Saccharomyces cerevisiae S288C: one gene and its partners. Changing the gene in region 1 together with any one later gene gives a genetic interaction. Each region holds a gene or a part of one and is shown in the gene's direction. Other genes may lie near its edges. The genes, in order: KSS1, ERG2, KAR4 and OCH1.

Region 1 (3,523 bases):
GTATTAGTTGACAGGCCAATCTGTCGCTAACATTGATATTGTTTTCTTTTAGCCTCTGAATGATCGTACTGACTGTAATTTCAAATGTATCAGCAGATGTACTTCCGTCGTACTCAAGGTTGGCAAGAGCTATCCAATCCTTTAATTCTTGATTGTTAGTTTGCATTTTGGACACACTTTTACAAAGGACTGTAAGGATGTCAGCATAATTAATTTCTAAAATTTGTTTTACCCATGTTGGCAATAAATGAAATGGGGCAAATGCTTGGAAGGTATTGTATATATACGCATGTTCTTCATAAGTCATTTGTCTTTTGATTTCACCCTGGTCATTTGGAATGATGTCACCGAGATTAGAGTTCTTCAAAAATCTGATGTAAAATTTAACCCATGTAGAAAAGTTTTCTTCTGATGTTAAAGTGTGTGGTGGTAAGACGTTATTTCCCACCTTTGTCTTAGCTTGAGGTATTTCAGAGTGTTGATTTTTTAAATCGATTGGATCAGGTGAGGAAGTACTCAGTGGTGGGATATACTGTGGCAACGGATAGTGTGGGTCCGGTTGATAATACGCAGGTGACGTTTGATAATGTGAACACGTCATCATAGATGGTTGTTGGTAATGTGCCCAGTTAGAGGCCATAGCTTTGTTTGGGGTCATCATGCCGTGCTGTTGGTACTGTCCATTCTGTGGAGGTGGTACTGAAGCAGGTTGAGGAGAGACATGATGATGGTTCTCTGGAACAGCTGATGTCCCAGGTGTTGTCTCTTGTTGAGAATTAACCTTAGTGGAATCTCTATCAAATTCCGGTAAATTGGAAGCTGAAACGGCTAACGGATCTTGATTTTATGGGACTTCCTTAGAAGTAACCGAAGCATAGGCGCTACCATGAAGAGAATGTGGATTTTGATGTAATTGTTGGGATTCCATTTTTTATAAGGCGATAATATTAGGTATGTAGATATACTAGAAGTTCTCCTCGAGGATTTAGGAATCCATAAAAGGGAATCTGCAATTCTACACAATTCTATAAATATTATTATCATCATTTTATATGTTAATATTCATTGATCCTATTACATTATCAATCCTTGCGTTTCAGCTTCCACTAATTTAGATGACTATTTTTCATCATTTGCGTCATCTTCTAACACCGTATATGATAATATACTAGTAACGTAAATACTAGTTAGTAGATGATAGTTGATTTTTATTCCAACAGTATTTATGTTTTGTCATTCTTTTCTACATAATCTTGAAACTAGGTAGATCTACAATTGAAAAGTAAATACTAACATTATTTACTAAATTTAAGTTAGAAATCGGCACGAAAAAAATTTGACAGATTACGAGAGTCCAGCCAAAATATGAGTATATTACTATTTCCCCTTGGTGAAAGAAATGAAAGATGTTATTTTTTACCGGCTTAGTAATACTGAGCTACTTACTTGGGGGAAAGAAAGATTGGCTACTTATTATGTATGAAGCCTCAGATTACCTTGAATTCCTCAACCGTTTGAGCAGTATGCTCTTCAAATTCGAACTTTTTGAACATCTTTCCTCCACATTCCTGATTTTTTCACATTCAAAACGCGCTGTGAAGCTGTTAGAAATTTACAGATCGAGGCATATTTCTATATATAATGTATTTTTATTAAGACACCCAAAGTACTTCCAATCTGTAGATATTGCACTTTATCTGACCAGAAGCCAGACTTGAACAGTTACATATTGTGCTTTGCAGTCGTTAAATTTCCCGAACTGTTTTCGTATTTTTTTTTCTTTTCCTCTTTTCCACTGGATCAGATCAAAAGCCGACTAAAAATTTGGCAATTTAAAGAAAGCATCTTTTAAAGATAGAAAAGGTTATTTCAACAAAAAAGTATCTTTTCTTCACTTTTCTTTCAACAATTCAAAGATGGCTAGAACCATAACTTTTGATATCCCTTCCCAATATAAACTCGTAGATTTAATAGGTGAGGGAGCGTACGGAACAGTATGTTCAGCAATTCATAAGCCTTCCGGCATAAAGGTAGCTATCAAGAAAATACAACCGTTTAGCAAAAAATTGTTTGTTACAAGAACTATACGTGAGATCAAGCTTTTACGGTATTTCCATGAACACGAAAACATAATAAGTATATTGGATAAAGTAAGGCCAGTATCCATAGACAAACTAAACGCTGTTTATTTAGTCGAAGAGTTGATGGAAACCGATTTACAAAAAGTAATTAATAATCAGAATAGCGGGTTTTCCACTTTAAGTGATGACCATGTTCAATACTTTACATACCAAATCCTCAGAGCCTTAAAGTCTATTCACAGTGCACAAGTTATCCATAGAGACATAAAGCCATCAAACCTGTTACTAAATTCCAATTGTGATCTCAAAGTCTGCGATTTTGGACTAGCGAGGTGTTTAGCTAGCAGTAGCGATTCAAGAGAAACATTGGTAGGATTCATGACGGAGTACGTCGCAACGCGATGGTACAGGGCACCCGAGATAATGCTAACTTTTCAAGAGTACACAACTGCGATGGATATATGGTCATGCGGATGCATTTTGGCTGAAATGGTCTCCGGGAAGCCTTTGTTCCCAGGCAGAGACTATCATCATCAATTATGGCTAATTCTAGAAGTCTTGGGAACTCCATCTTTCGAAGACTTTAATCAGATCAAATCCAAGAGGGCTAAAGAGTATATAGCAAACTTACCTATGAGGCCACCCTTGCCATGGGAGACCGTCTGGTCAAAGACCGATCTGAATCCAGATATGATAGATTTACTAGACAAAATGCTTCAATTCAATCCTGACAAAAGAATAAGCGCAGCAGAAGCTTTAAGACACCCTTACCTGGCAATGTACCATGACCCAAGTGATGAGCCGGAATATCCTCCACTTAATTTGGATGATGAATTTTGGAAACTGGATAACAAGATAATGCGTCCGGAAGAGGAGGAAGAAGTGCCCATAGAAATGCTCAAAGACATGCTTTACGATGAACTAATGAAGACCATGGAATAGTATTCACAAGAACATTTCTGCCATACTTCTAAAATTTCCCTATATTCAGCTTAGCAGTGACACGTTGTGGTCTGTAGGTCAATATGTAAGTAAGAAACTTCAACTCACATATGCACGATGCATGCCAATGGAAAAATGCAAGGAACGAAATGGCGCCACGGCAACAAGTTTTTTTTTTTCGCCAGCAGAAGTACACGAAATGCGGCTTCATGAGCCTCTTCACTGCTTTGCCTAAACGGGAAATGCAGAGAAAAACCAGCCATCGCGTGTGCTTGGAGAGCTGACGCGACTGTAATCAAAGAGGCGATATCAACACCTTTTATCCAGCACTATTCAACAGTGAATGGGCTCCCAAGTAAGTCTTGGCATTGTGCTTTCTATTCTTAAGTATTAAGTAGAAGTTTTGTTTACTGGGTTTGTTTATTCCTGGCTAGATGTTCGCATTCGTTTTCTAGTTGACCATATTTACCAAATATTCACAACTAATACCCAGCCAAGGT
Region 2 (2,835 bases), on another chromosome or scaffold:
GCCCGCAGTCTGTACATCTTCTTCTTTGAATTTGATAACCGTCTTCATCAATACCTCCATCAACTGGATCACTAAAATGATGAATATGGGCTTTCCCATGCTTCTTTTCTCTTAATCTATTAGTATATTCTTGAGCTCTTGTTTTCAGTCGCATTTCCTTGATTTTCTTTTCGTATTTTTTCTCCCTTCTGTGAGCCTTTCCTTCTTCACGACGTTGCCATTCCTCATCTAAACCTTCTTCTCCACCCCATTTCTTGAACGCAAAGGCTTCCACTTCACATCTAACAAATAGTTGCATTCTTGCAAATGTCCCCGAATGAGGGTTCGGCTTTTCTAGTCTATGAAAGAGATCCTCATCATTCAATTCGGGGTCTGTTAAAAAGTAATCTTCCTTACATTCTGTTTTCGTCAGTAGTGCATACTTTTCTGGATGCTCCTTAGAACACTGTTTACAAACTTGTAACTTGAACACATCATGTAGCACAGGATCCATCTCAATATTAATATGACATTCAATACATTTCGGCGCCTTTGAAATATGCTCTGGAGGAGGTGCATTTTCGTACAGCATTTTCCGTTCAAGTTGTTCCTTTTTCCAGTCCTGTAGTGTCTTCTGCTTTTTAGATCCAAACTCAGATTCAAATTCTTGGTCATCGGTAAAGTCAGAATTTGGAAGCTTGTCCTTAGGGTTGATATAACCACCATTCAAGTTCTGCATGGTGGCAAAATCGTACTCAATGTAATCTTGTTTCCTTATGCTAGGTCTGATTCTATCCGTTGGCCTTTTGTCGAGTACCGACGCATCCCTTTTACTTCCATCAACTACTCCGCTACCATAAAGTGAAGTAGTGTTAGTGTTAGTGTTAGCAAGCGCAGACGGTTGTCCATTATGATTTGGCACATGTACTGCGGCTGCTGCATTATCATCCCGATTGCTGCCACTAGTAACTGCGAGAGGCCGGGTTTTTAAAGGTTCATTCCTACTTTCTATTCGATTCAATTGGTCGCTACTCAGTATTCCCCTTTTTCTTAACCGTTCTATTGCTAATTTCCTGTTAGCCTCCTGCACAGCTCATCTCATCGTTAAATTGTTAGTAAAAAGAAACCCACGGTTAAAATACAAACACAGAATCATTTTCACACATACTAGTTTGGCCTTTTGTTCGGGAGTCATAGCGTTACGTTCGATACCTTCACTACGAAGATCCAAACTCTTTTTCTAGTTCCGATAAATTCCTTACCTTCTTTTCACTTTCCTCTTTTCTCCCTACAACTTAGCAAACGTCAAACATGCTGTAGATAGAGCTTCTATAGAAGTACAGTTATTCAAACAAAAAAAAAAAAAAAAACAAGGGTTGTGGAGTATGCCACTAGCAGTCTGCTATGTTGATTCTGCTTATTATCAACGAAGTATCCCATTATGATCTTATGCAATGCACATTCCTGCCCTTACGCTCCAGGGCAGAATCGAACCACGGCCCTCGTATAAGCCGCAAGGAAAACTACCGGTGCTATCGTTCTCGTTTGGATGATTTTCAGTATGGAAGAATTTGGATAGATCTGCAGCGCCATGGTATATAAGAGAAAGAAGCGGTAACGTTTGACACTGGGTTCAGATCTCTCTTGTCGCTCAATCAAACTAAGACTAGCCCAGACCATTATAGCCATGAAGTTTTTCCCACTCCTTTTGTTGATTGGTGTTGTAGGCTACATTATGAACGTATTGTTCACTACCTGGTTGCCAACCAATTACATGTTCGATCCAAAAACTTTGAACGAAATATGTAACTCGGTGATTAGCAAACACAACGCAGCAGAAGGTTTATCCACTGAAGACCTGTTACAGGATGTCAGAGACGCACTTGCCTCTCATTACGGGGACGAATACATCAACAGGTACGTCAAAGAAGAATGGGTCTTCAACAATGCTGGTGGTGCGATGGGCCAAATGATCATCCTACACGCTTCCGTATCCGAGTACTTAATTCTATTCGGAACCGCTGTTGGTACTGAAGGGCACACAGGTGTTCACTTTGCTGACGACTATTTTACCATCTTACATGGTACGCAAATCGCAGCATTGCCATATGCCACTGAAGCCGAAGTTTACACTCCTGGTATGACTCATCACTTGAAGAAGGGATACGCCAAGCAATACAGCATGCCAGGTGGTTCCTTTGCCCTTGAATTGGCTCAAGGCTGGATTCCATGTATGTTGCCATTCGGGTTTTTGGACACTTTCTCCAGTACTCTTGATTTATACACTCTATATAGAACTGTCTACCTGACTGCCAGGGACATGGGTAAGAACTTGTTGCAAAACAAAAAGTTCTAAGCTGCCCGACCTCACGAAATCAGTCATGCGGTAGTCCATTATAATATAACTATTATTATTATTACTATTACTATTATTATTATTATTATTATTATCTATTGTTTATATTCTCTTTAGCTTTTTATCACCTACGACGACGGATATATTCGGCGTTTGCAAAAAGTGAAAAAGGCGTCTTTTGGTGGACATGAACTCAATCTTCAATTCTTTGAAAGCGGTGTATGCGTATAAGGCCTTTTAACCATCGTGCAAAACAATAAAAGACTACCAATAACCGACGTGAATCATGTCTGCACCAACTCCATTAGCAGAGGCCTCTCAAATTCCCACTATCCCGGCCCTTTCTCCTTTGACTGCGAAGCAATCCAAGGGGAATTTCTTCTCCTCAAACCCAATATCTAGCTTTGTTGTGGATACGTACAAACAATTGCATTCTCACAGACAATCTTTGGAGCTGGTCAATCCCGGTACCGTGGAAAACCTGAATAAGGAAGTCTCCC
Region 3 (3,587 bases), on another chromosome or scaffold:
TGGACCTAGAAAAGATTTCTGAATATTTTCCACTAGAGGCTACGATTACTGGTATGCTGGAAATATACGAAACATTGTTTAATTTGAAGTTTATCGAGACGAAAGATTCTCAAAACAAATCTGTTTGGCATGACGACGTCAAACAAATCGCCGTTTGGAATATGGATGATCCAAAGTCTCCAAACTTTGTTGGTTGGATTTATTTCGATTTACATCCTCGTGATGGTAAATATGGCCACGCTGCCAATTTTGGTTTATCGTCATCATTCATGATTGATGACACCACAAGATCGTATCCGGTTACTGCGTTGGTTTGCAATTTCTCCAAATCTACGAAGGATAAACCTTCTCTACTGAAGCATAACGAAATAGTGACCTTTTTCCATGAATTGGGCCATGGTATCCATGACCTGGTGGGACAAAACAAGGAATCGAGGTTTAATGGCCCCGGATCTGTTCCATGGGATTTTGTGGAGGCACCTTCCCAAATGTTAGAATTTTGGACTTGGAATAAGAATGAATTAATCAACCTCTCATCACATTACAAAACGGGCGAAAAAATTCCAGAATCTTTGATCAATTCATTGATCAAAACTAAACACGTAAATGGTGCTTTATTCACTCTAAGACAATTACATTTTGGGTTATTTGATATGAAAGTACATACTTGTAAAGACTTGCAAAACCTGTCAATTTGCGATACCTGGAACCAATTGAGACAGGATATTTCTTTGATTTCTAATGGTGGTACGTTATCCAAGGGTTATGATTCATTTGGCCATATAATGTCAGACTCTTACTCTGCCGGTTATTACGGTTATCTATGGGCGGAAGTCTTTGCAACTGATATGTATCACACCAAATTCGCTAAGGATCCGTTAAATGCCAAGAATGGGATACAATACCGTGATATTGTGTTGGCTCGTGGTGGCCTTTATGATATTAATGATAATCTGAAAGAATTTTTGGGTAGGGAACCTTCTAAGGATGCTTTCTTGAAGGAGCTGGGCTTACAGAACTAAATTCGTTCAAGCATAAAATTATACAATTATTCTACAAAGTGTTATTATGTTAGATAATCTTTTAAATAACCTCGTCCCTGGATAGATTAAAACCATTAAATAGCTCAAATCTTGGAGTAAAGCAGCAGTAATATGTCTGATATGTTCGTTATATTTTTTCTTGAAGTTTATCAACTTATCCTTTACTAGACCATTTCCCTCCCCATCCAATCGTTGATCGATTTTAAATTTCACCTTGCATAATTTTATTAATTTCCATACACATTTTATCACTGAAATGCACGAGTAACACAGCCAAACTTTCCGTAATAGCCCACTTACATATAACTTATCGTTGACCACGCCTAGGTTTTCCAATACTGCGAAGAAATCAAGCAGCGAACTTACACCACTCCATATATTCTCCCATATATCTTTTGCACTGATTTCAGCCGTATTTTTCTTCGAAACCATTCAACTTTCTTTTCTTCTTCCTTTACTTTTATTCATCTCCTCTTTACTTCTTACCTCAGAGTCGAACATTGAAATCATTTCCCGCGAATTTTTCGATTATAATTACCCTTTCTACTTAACAAGAAGCAATAAGAGCAAAGGGGCGAAATGCTTGTCCCATACTTTGGCTTTTGGATGTGACATTAGGAGCCTTATCTCCTCTTAATGCCTTAAGTCAAAAAATAGTTTTTGGGATATATCTTGTGATCAAATGCTTTGCAAAAGGGTAAAACAGCGTTTACAATAGGATAGCCAAAAGTAAAAAAAAAAAAAAAAAAAAAAAGAAGGAAGTTAGTATCGAGCTCAAACAATTTTAGTTTTGCTGGACATATTTTCAGTTTCATTACTGTATATTTGCAGCTTGGTTTTTGTCGCTCTGTAGTCTTGTTTCACACTTCGTCATTTCCGAGTTTCATCTTGCGACATAACTTGTTTCAACTTTTCAAGTGCGACTTTTTGTTAAATATTATGACATAGAAGAAAGTAGAACAGCCATTATAAAACAAAAGAGAAGTGAGAATACTATTAAGATGGCATTCCAAGATCCAACTTACGACCAGAATAAAAGCAGACACATCAACAACAGTCACTTGCAAGGGCCAAACCAGGAAACAATAGAAATGAAATCTAAACACGTATCATTCAAACCCTCTAGAGACTTCCATACAAACGATTACTCGAATAACTACATTCATGGGAAGTCGCTACCGCAACAGCATGTTACTAATATTGAGAATAGGGTTGATGGCTATCCAAAACTTCAGAAATTATTTCAGGCGAAAGCTAAACAAATAAATCAATTTGCCACTACGCCATTTGGGTGTAAAATCGGAATAGATTCCATTGTTCCAACGTTGAATCACTGGATACAGAACGAAAATTTGACTTTCGACGTGGTGATGATTGGCTGCTTAACAGAAAATCAGTTTATTTACCCAATTTTAACCCAATTGCCATTGGATAGATTGATCTCCAAACCAGGTTTCCTGTTCATCTGGGCCAATTCTCAAAAAATCAATGAACTTACTAAACTTTTGAATAATGAAATATGGGCTAAAAAGTTTAGAAGAAGTGAAGAATTGGTTTTTGTTCCTATTGACAAGAAATCACCGTTTTATCCAGGTTTAGATCAGGACGATGAAACGTTGATGGAAAAAATGCAATGGCACTGTTGGATGTGTATCACAGGTACAGTAAGGAGGTCTACAGATGGACATCTTATTCATTGTAACGTAGACACTGACTTGAGTATCGAAACGAAGGACACCACTAATGGTGCTGTACCATCCCATTTGTATCGTATTGCAGAAAACTTCTCTACCGCGACTAGACGATTACATATTATTCCTGCAAGGACTGGTTACGAGACACCCGTCAAAGTAAGACCTGGCTGGGTTATAGTGAGCCCAGATGTTATGTTGGATAACTTCTCACCCAAGAGATATAAAGAAGAGATAGCTAATTTAGGTTCGAATATCCCATTAAAAAATGAGATTGAGCTGTTAAGACCAAGAAGTCCAGTACAAAAAGCACAATAAAGCATCAACACATAAATCCTTGCTTAGCTCAATTAAATATACTAGTAAATAAGTATATAAACAATAATTTTGCATTTTATTTTACTGGAAACTCTTCTCAAAACCAAATTGCGCAAGGATTGATTCAGTACAATTATGCAAACTCGAAAAGTAAATAAACAAAAAGATACAGTTGAGTGAAAGGTAAATAAACATTATTCTACTTGATTTTCCTCTGTTTTTTCCATTTTTCTTTTTTGTCTTTTCGTGTTCTAGCGTGTTCACTTTTTCAGCCATGTAATTACTTAAATAGGAAGTTTACACGATGTTCTCGCATAAAAAGCTGGAAGTGCAGAACAAAGAGGAAGAAAATAGGAACAGAGAATTTGTTTGTTTATTTGTTTGTTTGCTTGTTTGTTTGTTTGTTTTGATTTGAAGTCGAGGTACTTATTCGAAATAATTATTTTGCCCAGGGTTTTGGATAGTTTTTTGTTTTCCAATTAGATTTTTAGAAATATTTTATCATAGTTTTTTGTTTATTTATTTGTTTATTTAT
Region 4 (4,003 bases), 150 kb from region 1:
AACGGCTGACTGCAAAAGGGGAGAAAAAACGTCTAACTCCCGCAGTTCCGACTCAAAATCTTTTACAGAAGAGCCTGAAATTGGCAGATACTTAAAAGAGTTTATGAGCTTGAAGGCTATTTCAACAGGATCATTAATGTGACTGTCGATCGAAGCTAATTTATGGTAGGCCTTTAAAATAGCTTGCAAAAGAGCGTCTACGGTGTCTTGGGAGACCCGCGAGGCTGCAGTCACCAGTGGTGCATGGCCAGCACACTTCTGCATTCTGGTGGTGAGGGTTCTGTACTGCTTATATTGTTGCTATTGGTTAATTATGCCTTTTGTTTTCCTCTTTCCCTACGATCCTCCTTATATGAAACAGAAAAAACTGCCGCCGAGATCCAAGCAGAAAAAAATATATTAAGTCAAGGATCAAGGTGGCACACAGGGTAATGAAATTTTTATATTATATATATAAATAAATATCCATATGTCATTGTTAACGTCTTCCGTTGCTAAAATCATACGTCGTTATATACGTTATCGCTTTATACGTGTTAGCTCGATATCATTTGGGACGTGCCGAAATCTCGCGGAATGTTTCCGAAAAAAAAGAAAGAAAAAAAAAAAGGGGCAGGCCCCACAAAGGGGCGCCGCGTGGTGTTACGTACTGGAAAAGTGAATTATGAAAAAAAAGTTCTTCAAGGGGCAGGGGTTTCCGTTTGGCCCACTATGTATGTGTCTCCAGATACGATTATGATGTGCTAATAGTTATTAATAAAACTATATATATATATATTACTCATATATATATTTTCATATACAATGTACTCTTAACTGGTACCTGGTTGGATGCAATAGGTGAGGAAACCTTCAAACAAAACTTTCTTTTACGATTATCTATATCTTTGTTAGAAAGAATAAAATACAGTACAAAAATGAAGACTTTAATTGTTGTTGATATGCAAAATGATTTTATTTCACCTTTAGGTTCCTTGACTGTTCCAAAAGGTGAGGAATTAATCAATCCTATCTCGGATTTGATGCAAGATGCTGATAGAGACTGGCACAGGATTGTGGTCACCAGAGATTGGCACCCTTCCAGACATATTTCGTTCGCAAAGAACCATAAAGATAAAGAACCCTATTCAACATACACCTACCACTCTCCAAGGCCAGGCGATGATTCCACGCAAGAGGGTATTTTGTGGCCCGTACACTGTGTGAAAAACACCTGGGGTAGTCAATTGGTTGACCAAATAATGGACCAAGTGGTCACTAAGCATATTAAGATTGTCGACAAGGGTTTCTTGACTGACCGTGAATACTACTCCGCCTTCCACGACATCTGGAACTTCCATAAGACCGACATGAACAAGTACTTAGAAAAGCATCATACAGACGAGGTTTACATTGTCGGTGTAGCTTTGGAGTATTGTGTCAAAGCCACCGCCATTTCCGCTGCAGAACTAGGTTATAAGACCACTGTCCTGCTGGATTACACAAGACCCATCAGCGATGATCCCGAAGTCATCAATAAGGTTAAGGAAGAGTTGAAGGCCCACAACATCAATGTCGTGGATAAATAAGAGCTGAATAATACTTCTTCAACCTGATGAACTAGGGTGGCTTGCAAATGCACAAATCTATATAACAATATCTATATATATGTATGTACACCGAATTCCGACATATGGAGAAGGAATAATAAAATATTAACTAACGTCTTTACGCCTCTCTTTATTCTTTTTTGGGTAAATTGCTTAAACTATTTGGCCGGCCCACCGCGAAAAGATTTGGCTGGGCCTCAACTAAACGCGCCTTTTTGGACTTTTCACGTTGCAGGGACAGCAACGTCAAAACTTCTGCATTAAGGTAGTTTGGTAGCTTGGTAGCCACTTTAGTATTTCTGCCTTCTTCGAATACCGACATTATTTCTCGCCAATCCACATTCTCTCTCCCCATCTGCATCCTTTTATATTTAATAGGGATAGGTTGTTTTAGTTCTTTGATTCCGTTTTCATTTCAAGAGCAATAATAGCAATTTGGAAAAAGAAAGCAAGTAAAAGAAAGAAGAGATCATGTCTAGGAAGTTGTCCCACCTGATCGCTACAAGGAAATCAAAAACAATAGTCGTAACCGTACTTCTTATTTATTCTTTGTTGACATTTCACTTGTCAAACAAAAGGCTGCTTTCTCAGTTTTACCCTAGCAAAGATGATTTCAAGCAAACTCTTCTCCCTACGACTTCTCATTCACAAGATATAAATTTGAAGAAACAAATTACAGTTAACAAGAAAAAAAATCAATTGCATAATTTACGTGATCAATTATCGTTTGCGTTTCCCTACGACTCTCAGGCCCCCATCCCGCAAAGGGTGTGGCAGACCTGGAAAGTCGGCGCAGATGATAAGAATTTTCCCTCTTCGTTCAGAACCTATCAAAAAACATGGTCTGGTTCGTATTCACCGGATTACCAATATTCTCTGATTTCGGATGATTCTATTATCCCTTTTTTGGAGAATCTTTACGCACCCGTTCCGATAGTCATCCAAGCGTTTAAATTGATGCCTGGAAATATCCTAAAGGCAGATTTTTTAAGGTACCTATTATTATTTGCAAGAGGTGGTATTTACTCAGATATGGATACTATGCTTTTGAAGCCAATTGATTCATGGCCTTCTCAGAATAAGTCATGGCTAAACAACATAATAGATTTGAATAAACCTATTCCTTATAAGAACTCAAAGCCCTCACTTCTCTCAAGTGATGAGATATCACACCAGCCAGGTTTGGTCATCGGCATTGAGGCAGATCCGGACAGAGATGATTGGAGTGAATGGTATGCTCGTAGGATCCAGTTTTGTCAATGGACTATCCAAGCCAAACCAGGTCACCCAATTCTAAGAGAATTGATCTTAAATATTACTGCAACGACTTTGGCGAGCGTACAAAACCCAGGAGTTCCTGTCAGTGAAATGATTGATCCAAGATTTGAAGAAGACTACAACGTAAACTATAGGCACAAAAGACGTCATGATGAGACCTACAAACACTCCGAATTGAAAAATAACAAAAATGTTGATGGCTCAGATATAATGAATTGGACGGGTCCAGGTATTTTCTCCGACATTATTTTCGAATACATGAACAATGTGCTCCGATACAATAGCGATATCTTGTTAATCAACCCAAACCTAAACAAGAACGACGAAGAAGGTAGTGAGAGTGCCACCACACCAGCAAAAGATGTTGATAACGATACGCTGTCCAAATCAACAAGAAAATTTTATAAGAAAATATCAGAGTCTTTGCAATCGTCAAATTCAATGCCCTGGGAATTCTTCTCTTTTTTGAAAGAACCAGTTATCGTTGATGATGTGATGGTTCTACCAATAACAAGTTTTTCACCAGATGTGGGGCAGATGGGCGCCCAGTCTAGTGACGACAAAATGGCTTTTGTAAAGCACATGTTTAGCGGGAGCTGGAAAGAAGATGCTGATAAAAATGCAGGTCATAAATAACGAGGCTCTCCTTTCATCATACCCTCTCTAAATAAAATTTATTCCTAGTTATTCCTTTCTTCTTCATATCCTTAATCATGCATTCACTGCCATGTGCAAATAAAGGCTCTTGTGGTAGAAACTTTTAGCTCAAACGTGGTAAAACTATCTCAACGTCCTTCCGTAGACAACTGGTGAGCAGTGCTTCTGTAACACTGCAGATCTCCAATGATAAATCGATACCGTACTAACTGCCCGCACTATAATGAACTCTTTGTATCCGTAACTATTTAAAATATTCATTCATTTCTATAAGCTATATGTTTATATTTAGATTAGAGGGGTTAAAAGAAAGTTTTTCTCGAAAGCTTAATTTTAGCTTTTACTTTGAACTTCTAGTAATTGCGAGGCAGTATCGACAATGCAATCTCTGAACTTATTAAATTGGAATCCTAATAAATTTTTGGTTTTGCGGTTGTCGCACTTGCAGCAGTTTTTTGTCAAAAAGGTTGAGCCGCTAC

Evidence for each region.
Region 2: mutations in KSS1 (region 1) and ERG2 together harm fitness more than expected from each alone (negative genetic interaction), as found in Saccharomyces cerevisiae (2 studies listed by BioGRID).
Region 3: mutations in KSS1 (region 1) and KAR4 together harm fitness more than expected from each alone (negative genetic interaction), as found in Saccharomyces cerevisiae (2 studies listed by BioGRID).
Region 4: of KSS1 (region 1) and OCH1, extra expression of one is lethal in a mutant of the other (dosage lethality), as found in Saccharomyces cerevisiae (one study listed by BioGRID).

The regions. Positions count from the first base shown.
Region 1 is NC_001139.9:573,482-577,004, forward strand, and holds KSS1 (mitogen-activated serine/threonine-protein kinase KSS1), read left to right. Parts: upstream 1-1,916; coding exon 1,917-3,023; downstream 3,024-3,523. Other genes in the region: YGR039W (uncharacterized protein), read left to right, coding at 1,407-1,718. UniProt on the Saccharomyces cerevisiae protein: Together with closely related FUS3, KSS1 is the final kinase in the signal transduction cascade regulating activation/repression of the mating and filamentation pathways, induced by pheromone and nitrogen/carbon limitation, respectively.
Region 2 is NC_001145.3:665,871-668,705, forward strand, and holds ERG2 (C-8 sterol isomerase ERG2), read left to right. Parts: upstream 1-1,666; coding exon 1,667-2,335; downstream 2,336-2,835. Other genes in the region: DNA repair protein RAD14, read right to left, coding at 1-1,063, 1,148-1,174; TOM complex pore protein TOM40, read left to right, coding at 2,622-2,835. UniProt on the Saccharomyces cerevisiae protein: C-8 sterol isomerase; part of the third module of ergosterol biosynthesis pathway that includes the late steps of the pathway. ERG2 catalyzes the reaction which results in unsaturation at C-7 in the B ring of sterols and thus converts fecosterol to episterol.
Region 3 is NC_001135.5:25,885-29,471, forward strand, and holds KAR4 (Kar4p), read left to right. Parts: upstream 1-2,044; coding exon 2,045-3,052; downstream 3,053-3,587. Other genes in the region: PRD1 (metalloendopeptidase), read left to right, coding at 1-1,022; PEX34 (Pex34p), read right to left, coding at 1,041-1,475. UniProt on the Saccharomyces cerevisiae protein: Component of the MIS complex, a complex that mediates N6-methyladenosine (m6A) methylation of meiotic mRNAs and is required for initiation of meiosis, progression through the meiotic divisions and sporulation.
Region 4 is NC_001139.9:424,862-428,864, reverse strand, and holds OCH1 (initiation-specific alpha-1,6-mannosyltransferase), read left to right. Parts: upstream 1-2,060; coding exon 2,061-3,503; downstream 3,504-4,003. Other genes in the region: VIR1 (Vir1p), read right to left, coding at 1-264; PNC1 (nicotinamidase), read left to right, coding at 918-1,568; YGL039W (carbonyl reductase (NADPH-dependent)), read right to left, coding at 3,858-4,003. UniProt on the Saccharomyces cerevisiae protein: Mannosyltransferase involved in outer chain elongation of asparagine-linked oligosaccharides of the type Man(9)GlcNAc(2). Adds the first alpha-1,6-mannose to the Man(8)GlcNAc(2) and Man(9)GlcNAc(2), but not Man(5)GlcNAc(2), endoplasmic reticulum intermediates.